Caenorhabditis elegans: one gene and its partner. The protein of the gene in region 2 interacts with the protein of the main gene of each other region in a biochemical or structural test. Each region holds a gene or a part of one and is shown on either strand. Other genes may lie near its edges.

Region 1 (4,868 bases), 5.0 Mb from region 2:
GTTTTCGGTGGCATTAAGCGTAGAATAGCGCGATTGTGGAAAATTGATAAAAATCTATAGTGCCAAAATGGCCAAATAAAAATTGTTTCAAATTTCATGGTCTACCTATGTTTTAAATAATAATATTCAAACATTTTATTCGCTCGAACATGCGACTGTGCTATTTTTTCTCAAAAAGTGATAAAAACTTAGTAATTTTCACTTTTTGTGTGTCAATTTTTTGAATATGTGCAAAGAGTTTTTGAAACTTTTTACTATGATATTTGATAGTTTTGGTACTATAAGAGTGGTAGTTCAGAAAAATTACCCCACTGCCCCTACTCCACCATAGACTAATTTGCTAGTTAGAAACCAAAAATACAATGTTTCAAAAAATATGTTATAAAATACAAGAAAAATACAAGGTGTCAAAAACATACATTTTCTGAATAAGGGTAATTTTTTGACATTTTCGAAAATGTAATCTATATCTTTGATCTCATATGTTAATATCAAATTAATTAGACTAAAGTTTTGAAATTGATGATTAATTACTACATTTATTTTGTATTTCACAAAGATGTTCGTATTTCTTAGAATAACACTATTTTTTTGCAATAATTTAATTAGTGTGGACTGTTGTCACCACATTGAACACACTTTTCGTAATTTTTTTGCCTTGTTTATTATTATGTTCTTTGAAATTAATGTTTTATTTATTATTTAGAATCAATTTTTCAAATTCCCTTAATTGGATCCCCGCAACTGAACCAGACGGCCAATTGACACTGGCTTACAAGAATTTGAATGAAAACGTCTCGAAGATCATCAGCTGCATTCAAATGAAAAGAAAGAATATTTGTATTATTGTTTTGCGTTTTTACAATTGTGCCACCCAAATATTATTCGTATGCTCGCCCCGCTTGTCTTATTGCAGGGGCCACTGTGAGTGGATTTTTGGTGGAAACGAGCTTGTTGGAAAAAGATGATAGCCGATTGGCAAGGTGCCTCGGTAAATTGGAAACTATTACACAAATATCATTGATTTCTAAACATTGAATTTTGAAATTTAATATTTGTAGAAATATTAAAATGATTTGTTTACTTTAAATGGATCAATTTTAAAGAGCACTACGTTTTCATTTGCGCGTTAAAATATTTAAATAAAAGTGATGATTCATTGAAAATTCGTAATTATAAAATAAGTTTACCGTATTTTACCTAAATTTTAACAAAACTTTTTGAACCACATAAATATTTAACGCGTTTTTATTATTTTAAAGCTGACCAATTAGAATTAGTGTGCAGTGGAAGATACAAGAATAATAGGAAAATCACAGTAATTTCTAAAACATATTAACTACTTGTTAGAAATTTTTATCAATTGACCAGTATAAACTATGTTGTTTTTTTCAACTTGTCCAAACTCTTCATCATCATCTGTCTCTTGTTGGTCCCTTGTCTGTGTCAGCGTAGGAGGAAGAGATAGTGAAGTGCACATCTTGGTGATCGAGAGAGAAGCAGAGAAACCCGTTTCTCGAATCAATGTTGGTGATTCAAAAATATATTGAGCCTTCGGATCGAAACATGATGCCCTATTTCTACGATAGCACATCACAGAAGTCTGCGTATTCTGAGGAAACGCAGACTGCCCGCGGGAAGCCCCAGGCAGAGAGAAAGACGAGAGCCACACGAGGAGGGCACGGCTGCTCACTCTGCGTAGGTGTAAGGTTTACAGCACAGATTGTGTCCGTATGTTATACTTTTCTTTTCCCTGAGAGCTCCCGCTCCCGCCAGCCCCTCCCACTTATCTGCCAACGACGGCCTCCCGGAGCAAGCACTTTCATATCTCTTCATTGTCGATTTCAACATCCCACCGGCACATACTCAAATTTCCTTCTTCTTCTGTGTCATCACTTCTTATCAATATGTTTTGAGATTTTGAATTTTGAGAATTTAACTTTCATATAATTACAGAACCTAAACCTAACTAATCATGTCCGACGAGGAGGAGGTATAGTAAGTTATATACCTATCATTTTTCTAGACATTCTAATTTTTAATTTTTTAGCTCTGATGAGGAGGTCGAGGAGGAGGAGGTCGAGGAGACCGAAGAGGCCCCAGCTGAGGCTGAAGAGCCGTAAGTTTAAGCTTTGAATTCGTGATTTTTTGTATAACACTGAAATTGTAGAGAGGAGACCACCGAGGAAGTAGTCGCTCCACCAGAGGTCAAGGAGCGTCGTGCTCCAGTCCAAGAGGAGAAGCCACCAGCGGAGATGACTGAGGCTGAGATTGCCATGTTGGTGAGTATAACTTCTTGGGAGACCTTCCGTTTCATTCATAAAATTGTTAACCAAATTCATATCTAGGCCGCCAAGAAGCGTCACGAGGAAGAGGAAGCCGCTAAACTTCTCGATTACGAGCAGCGCCGTGTTCTTGAGAAGGAGCAAATCGAACAAGAGCTTCGTGAACTCAAGGAGAAGCAAGAGAAGCGCCGAGCTGAGCGTGAAGAGGACGAGCGTCAGTTCGCTGAACGTAGACGTCAAGATGACGAGCGCCGTCGCAAGGAAGAAGACGAACGCAAGGCTAAGGCTGATGCCGAGAAGATCCGCAAGAACGAGGAGAAGGTCCGTCGTCAACAAATGATGGCTGGAGCTTTCAACGGAAGAGTTGAAGCCGGAGCTGGACGCAACTTCACTGTCGCCTCCAAGGGAGACCAAGCTGCTCAATTCGGAAACTTGGCTCAGGTATTTTTATTGTATCATTTTTAAATCGAATACTAATTAAGAAACTTTCAGGCTAAGGGAGGAAAGGATGTCATGAGCAAGGAACAGATGGAGGATGCCAAGAGAAACTTCTTGGCCGCCGTCTGCCGTGTACAAGACGTCTCTGGACTTCTTCCAAACGATTTGAAGGAGAGAATCAGAGGCCTTCATGCTCGTATCGTCAAGCTCGAGGCTGAGAAGTACGACTTGGAGAAGAGACGTGAACGTCAAGACTATGACGTAAGTTTAAACTATTCAATGAGACTTATTTGATATTGTGTGTGACATTCAACCAAATTTCAATTACTTCAGATGAAAGAGTTACACGAGCGTCAACGTCAAGCCGCCCGTAACAAGGCTCTCAAGAAGGGACTTGACCCAGAGGAGGCTGCTTCCTCTGTCCATCCACCAAAGATCACCACCGCTTCTAAGTTCGACCGTCAAACCGACAGAAGATCTTACGGAGACCGTCGGTACTTGTTCGAGAACCCAGAAGAGGAGAAGCAGGCTTCCCTCGTCCGCGGAACCGGACGACCACCAGCAGAGTGGGGACGCAAGCAAAACGAAGAACTCGAGCAGATCCGCAAAAACTTGGAGCCACCAAAGTACGTTGAGCAGGTCAAGGTTGAGGGAGCCAGAGCACCAGTCGAGCCAGTCCCACTCTTCGTTCCAACTGATGACTTCGAGCCACAACAAGTCACCGAGGATCCAAATGTTGGAGAAGAGGTCGTTGTCGAATAAATTTCCTGTTTTTTACCTTTTTTCATTTCACAATTTTTTGATTATCAAATTTATTAAAATAAACCCAATCCCAACCAAAAAAAATCCATTTTCTAATATTCCAATCAAAACTTTTTGCATTTGTTTCCAATTTATTAACCAATTCTCCAATTCTTCAAGTACTCTGTTTCTGCATACTCTCCGGTTTGTGCTTATCAGTAAAGTCTTTATCATAAAAATTGCATTCCCATTCGAATTGTAAGCATTTCATGAAACAGATTAAAACAAGAATTCGTGGAAAGACAAATTTTGATTATAATATTTATTATTAAAGTTTGAATAAGTCGAGTCAACGGAAAAAATATATATGAATAATATAAATTGAAAAAGGAAAGGACTAAGACGGAATTGGAAAAATATGAGAAATTGGGATCTAGCTAATGAGAAAAATAATCGTTTGAAAGCGGTGAGAAAAAATTTGCTTACAACAGCAAAGTTGATGAATTTCTGGGGCAAAGTTTTTTGTGGTAGGAGAGAAAATCGGCATGACACGCCACAGTTTGATGTGTGTAACAAACTAATCAGAGAGGCATTTGAAAACATTCTATGATAAAAATTATACACATTATCAAATTCAAAATCAAGTTATCAAATTCAAAAATAAAAGTTATTGGTTAGATTTGAATAAGCAAAACAGATACGAGACACACATCTGGGGCCAATTTTGAAAACGACCTGGGGAATTTTTAGAGTTTGGGGAGTAGTTATGGTTGGGAAGAACATCTGGAAAGTCTGACAAATAGGCCTCATAGTATTTGCTTATGTTTTTTTTTCGCAAAGTGAGAAATGAAAGCAACGGGGCGAGAACAGTGAGGAACTGGGTTTCAGTAGAGAATTACAACCGAGAAGCAACAAAGTTTACACCAGGAAATCGAGAAATGTACAATAAAATGACAACAGAAAAATAGAATTTTGAAGTGAGAAGAAATAATCAATTGGGATACAAAGACTAACGAGCATAAATTTTCAATAATTGGGATAGAAGTTGATGAGAAATTGGGAATTGTTTTGTTTTAAGAATGAAAAAAATTGAAAGCTTTCGTTTACAGATAGTGTATTCAAAAATGTACCTAGTGATGAAATTACTAATTTGGAGACACAGATATCACTCAGAATGGTCTTTCATTTGTGGATTTATAGTTTTTAGAATGTTGTGAAAAAGTACAAAAAATTCAAAAAAAAAATCGAAAAATATTCGGGTAAAACAGGTAAACAAGTTCATTACAACCAAAAGATTTTCATTTCAAAAAACAAACTCAAAAAATCGATTTTCAATGTGTAAACGTTAATCGTACAATGCGTTTCATCTGATTAGTACATTTTGAGGGAACTTAGAATTCGTCT
Region 2 (4,990 bases):
TAAATCCAATTTATTGATATAACACATTGAGTTTTAATGAGACTCACCTGACTGGACAGCCAGATGTTCATCCGGCGCATATTCAAAACGTCGCGGGCGGTCATGTCTTGGCTGTACAACTGGGCAATCATATGCTTTCGATAAATCCACCAGATTAGAAAGCAGACGACGATCATAAAAAGTTTCATATGATCCTGAAAACAACGATTTCCTAGTTTCTGAGCTTCTCTTGAAAATATTACCGGGGTAATGAAGGAAATGAGGGTAATGATTATTCCGTAAGGTATCAAGTAGGTATGTGCCAGTTTAATTCCGCGTGGACTGAAAAATGTATTTATTAGAATGTTGTTTTGACAGAAACACATACTTTTGATTAGCGAATTGGGCAATTTGAATTATGAGAAAAGCACTGACAACAAACCAATACAAAGGCATTTGAGCCGTTACTAGCCGATCACAAATGGAGATCACAAACTTTGGAATAAATGGAAATGTTGAGTACGTAACATATTCTACCGAGTTGACCATAAAGGAAAACTGAAATTGTGTGATGCTACAGTTTTAAAACTAAAATTGAATACCTTCTGAATGACCAGTGCCGCGCCGAAAGTGATCATTTGAATAATGAAGATCGCTTTGAATGTGTGCTCGGAGATGAAGAATGTTTTTCCGTGAACCAGAAAAATTATCAGGTAGAAAGTGTAAAATAGGAATCCTAAAAACTATAAATGTATTAAAAAAATTGTGAACTAACATACCAAACATTTGTGACAGAAGTTCCAGATAGTGAATCTTCCGAAAAACGTTCAAATCAACTCCTGGGAATTGATTCGCAACTCGTGAGTTGTAGTGGAGCATTTCATCGTAGGATGAAAATTGAACTCTTTCCATATTAAACCAATCTCGAGTTTAACTCAGAATCAAAATGGCTTATCGAGCTCCTTTTATTTCGTCTCAACCCGGTTACACTTGGTGACGTCGGAGAAGGCGGCGATTTGCGTTTCCAGGTGTTTTTGCCTTATTCCCTGTTTCATTTACATTTGTTAGTTTGACAGCTGAAAATCGTTAGGATAATTCACACAAATAGAAATGCCTTTCTGTGCTGCTTTCGAGTTTTGCTCTGTAATTCCGGGTTGGTGATAACTTCATTTATTGCGAATATGCAGAAAAGAATAAGATGGAATATTACTGAAAGAATACAAAGAATGTATACTGGAAATTTTGAAACAGTATAACGGCAGAACAAAACAAATGAAGATTTATAAAAAAGGGCCAAATACCTTTTACATGCACAAAATTTTAAGAATACTCAAACTCAAAAGGCACATAAATTGAATTGATGAAATGTATTATACGCGAGAATGATTAGTTAGATTCAGTGAACAAGATAATGACAACAATGCCGGTATTTATTCCTCGTCGGCTTCTTCTTCTTCTTCTTCTCCCTCAGAAGCAGCAGTTTCTTCTTCCTCAACTGGCTCAATAACTGGTTCTGGGGCGCTTTCTTCCTTCTTCTCTTCCTTCTTCTTGGACCATTCTGGCTTGTCAGATTTCTTCTGAAATGTGGATTATTGTAAATTCAATTCATCAAATATCAATTTGAAAACAATTTTTAAAGTTATGTTGATAAAATAAGTATATGTTTCTGAGTACTACAAATTGATATAATTTATTATTTTGAGTTTTTTGGATTCTAAATGTCAATTTTAAACATTGTATTTAATGTTCTATATTGATGTATTGTTTCAGCCAGTTTTCAATATTGTGAACACAAAATATGTGTTCTAGAAATTTTTCTGGCAGGCTACTTTTTGTTAACATGTTTTTCTTGACAGTTCAAGTAAAAACTAGTTTTATATTCCAGTTAAACTTATTACAAACTTACCTTGTTGGCAATTTGAGTGAAGACGCTCTCTTTCTTTACTGTCTTGAGATTATTTCTCAAGTTCTTGCTTCCATCTTCCTTCTTGGCTTCAGCCATCTTCTTGAACTTGTTGTCATACTTGGACACCTTCTTCAATGATGGTTTTACGCTGAAAATAGTTTTTTCTCATGTCATGCGGAATTGGAGCAGGTGAAAACACACTAGCACTGCTGGGTTTATTTAAAGACATACAATTTTCCACGAAGATCGTTAACCTCAATGTTGAGTTGATTAATTGTAGTTTCAGTCTCTGTGGTGATGTGGTTGATATCATATTTCTCTTCCTCCAAGTTGCAGAGGCGGGAGAACAAATCATTGTAGATAGCCTCGAGCTTAGCTGAAATATACACAATTTTGTTTGTTGCCTAAAGCACTGAACGAACCGTGATCATCAATGCTGTCAACATTTGGAAGAGCAACGGTTCTTTCAGCAAGGACCTTGACTCTTTCTTGTTCCTTCCGCAATTGCTGTGTCTTAAGATCCTCAGCAGCCTTGTTCATAAGAAGCTTCTGAAAATGAATCTGTAAGTGTTGAAAGTCAAATGTTCTCTTACGCGGAGCTTCTTCTTTCTTTCTGGAGTCAAAAATCCTTTCTTCTGTTTCTTTTGTCCTGCTTCTTCAAGGCGCTTGCGCACCTCGGCCTTTTTGGCTTCGCGTTCTTGGGCTTTTCGTTGGGCATCCTGAACAATATCGTTTCAAAAACACAAATGACTTTGTTTTGTTTACCTCGCCATCGGTTTCGTTGGCAGCTCCGCCGTAGCGAATGTTCTCATCAATTTGGCTCATTTTCAAGTCCTTAAATGCAAATTGATTAGAAGCACATTTACAGAAAACAAAGGTTACGACTACTATGGGATGTGCCAAGCAATTGGTGGAAAGCGTTAGAGGTACGGTGGGTGTGAAGGTATTCAAGGGTGTGTGTAAACGTGAGAAAGGGGATTCAAATTGAAAACAGATTGATAGAAGAGGCAAAACCATGAAACGGAATGAGTCTAAAGTGTTTGGGTGTGAGGTTTGCTGGAACGATACGCACACAAACGGTATTTTTATCAGCTCAGTGAATGTTGTTCGAAAAAAAAATAAATAAAGGAAGACTTAGTGATGGGTGTGTTATTAAGCGATTGAAACATTAGTGCAGATCCAACTAACTTTCTAGTCAAAAATTTGAAAGTAAGTGTATATTAAAAAGATAAAAAATGACTGAAATGCATGCGCTCACTTTGGCAGGTTGATGTAAGAAGTGAAGAAGTACGACAACATTGTGTTGGTTACCTTGTATTCAGCCAAGAGATTCTGGAGCAATTGATTACCAAATTTATGACTGTTTTTCAGAAAAAAAACACATTAGGTACATGATCGTCATATATTTCAGACATGGTTTCAAAATTGTTATTGTTGGTAATGAACCAATTTTGGTGCTCCAATAAACACTTTGTCAGTTTAGTTGTAATGTATTGTTCGAACCACTGTAGGAGTATATTACAATAACCTGTACGCCTATCGCAGTACTTTGAAATTTTAAATACATTCTGAAAATTTCAATCTGCAAAATTTTACAAATAACAAACATTACAATTTTTAACGTGGTTATGTGCGAGTGGTGATGTTTAAATTGGGACAGTGCAAGTGCGAGCGAAGTGAACAGAGGGAGAAAATAATATCGGAAAACATAAGATTTTCGAAGTTAGAAGCGCAAAGACATGTTAGGTGAAAAAAGGTAATGGAAGCTATAGGGGAAGTTAAAATTAAACAATGAATTTATGGTGGAATGGCCATCACCAACTGATTCAGTGCGAGTGTTTTAGTTTTTGAAACCAAAAACGTGAAGGTGAGAGTTGTTAGTTGAGCGGATGTTGTTAGGAAGCAAGGAAAGGTGGTGGATAGAAGGACAATAATTGTAGTTGAAAGGAAAATTCGAAGTGAGTGAAGTGCTCTGCAGAAGCTCTGAGAACAAAATGAGCATACACCATTTTTTCGCGAGGGCTTCCGAAACTGACAGCTTAAGCGGTAATTATCGTGTAATGGCTTTCTTGAAAGGCGTTTCATTGCGTGTTTTGTTAGCCTCGGTCATGAATCTGACAGCGAATAGTAATCAAATTATAATACTAAAAATGAAATTTTCGGATCTAAGAATTGGTGGTAGAAACAATTTTACGTTGCTCAAAACATACAAATTTGAAGTAGTAGTGCGTGAAAAACGACGACTGATGTGAGTGAATAGAAAGACTTCAAAACGAGAAGTGAGCACAAATAAAAATTTAATGAAGGTCTTATTATGTAGCTAGAGGCAGGAAAAGGGGAGAGAATACTGAATACTCAGTTTTGGTTGAAGTAGTTTCTTTTTTCATCATAGATTGAGTGAGCAAAAATATATTTATTAAAAAGTATATGATTTGATTCTCATTCCAGACAAGTCTCGAGTTTTTGTAATGGAAAAGAAACAAAACTCTGAAAGTAAGTTTTGAAATTAAAATATGCAGAAGAAGCACAGTTGAATGGGCTGAAAACGAAATGAGTTGAACTAGAAGACATAAATGGGAAAAGGGATAGAAAGAAGAAGCATAAGATGACGAAGAAGAAGGAAAGGGGAAGAAAAAGAAATAAGAAGATTCTGGAATGAAGAATGGGAATAGCTTTCGATGTGCCGTCGCATTGCGGGGGTTGCTGAGATTTGATTTGCGAGTGCTTGGCTGCGATCAGACAGAATGTATTGAAGTAGCATCAAAAAACTGGAGGAGGTGGCAGGAGAGCAAAAGACAGGACACACGGCTGGTGTCAGTTGGCTGGCTCGCCGAATAGTACAATGTGTGGCGGCCTGGAGCTGGACATTAAAGACATCAGAGCTCGGGCAACGTTTTGATGGGATTTCAGTGCTCTCCTGGAATCGCGTTGTGTCTTCTACTCCTCTGATCATTTGTTTCGAGAAGAGCAACGCTAAGCTCCGTGGATCGTGTTGTAATACTCATTTTGATGTGCCCTTCAATTCGACGCAGTAACAGCAAAAATAAAACGTGGCGGACCTCTCTGCCCACCCACCCATATGTTGTATTAGCTTCCTGATCAAAT

The links.
Region 1: the proteins of tni-1 (region 2) and mup-2 interact in far-western blotting, tested with the Caenorhabditis elegans proteins (one study listed by BioGRID).

Annotation. Positions count from the first base shown.
Region 1 is NC_003284.9:6,407,316-6,412,183, reverse strand, and holds mup-2 (Troponin T), read left to right. Parts: upstream 1-1,956; 5' UTR 1,957-1,975; coding exon 1,976-1,998; intron 1,999-2,050; coding exon 2,051-2,119; intron 2,120-2,170; coding exon 2,171-2,282; intron 2,283-2,348; coding exon 2,349-2,726; intron 2,727-2,777; coding exon 2,778-2,984; intron 2,985-3,056; coding exon 3,057-3,485; 3' UTR 3,486-3,713; downstream 3,714-4,868. UniProt on the Caenorhabditis elegans protein: Troponin T is the tropomyosin-binding subunit of troponin, the thin filament regulatory complex which confers calcium-sensitivity to muscle actomyosin ATPase activity.
Region 2 is NC_003284.9:11,374,752-11,379,741, forward strand, and holds tni-1 (Troponin I 1), read right to left. Parts: upstream 2,720-4,990; 5' UTR 2,711-2,719; coding exon 2,651-2,710; intron 2,605-2,650; coding exon 2,479-2,604; intron 2,435-2,478; coding exon 2,308-2,434; intron 2,262-2,307; coding exon 2,117-2,261; intron 2,034-2,116; coding exon 1,886-2,033; intron 1,557-1,885; coding exon 1,410-1,556; 3' UTR 1,136-1,409; downstream 1-1,135. Other genes in the region: F42E11.3 (Brp/Blh family beta-carotene 15,15'-monooxygenase), read right to left, coding at 48-194, 243-321, 368-537, 582-715, 759-858. UniProt on the Caenorhabditis elegans protein: Troponin I is the inhibitory subunit of troponin, the thin filament regulatory complex which confers calcium-sensitivity to muscle actomyosin ATPase activity.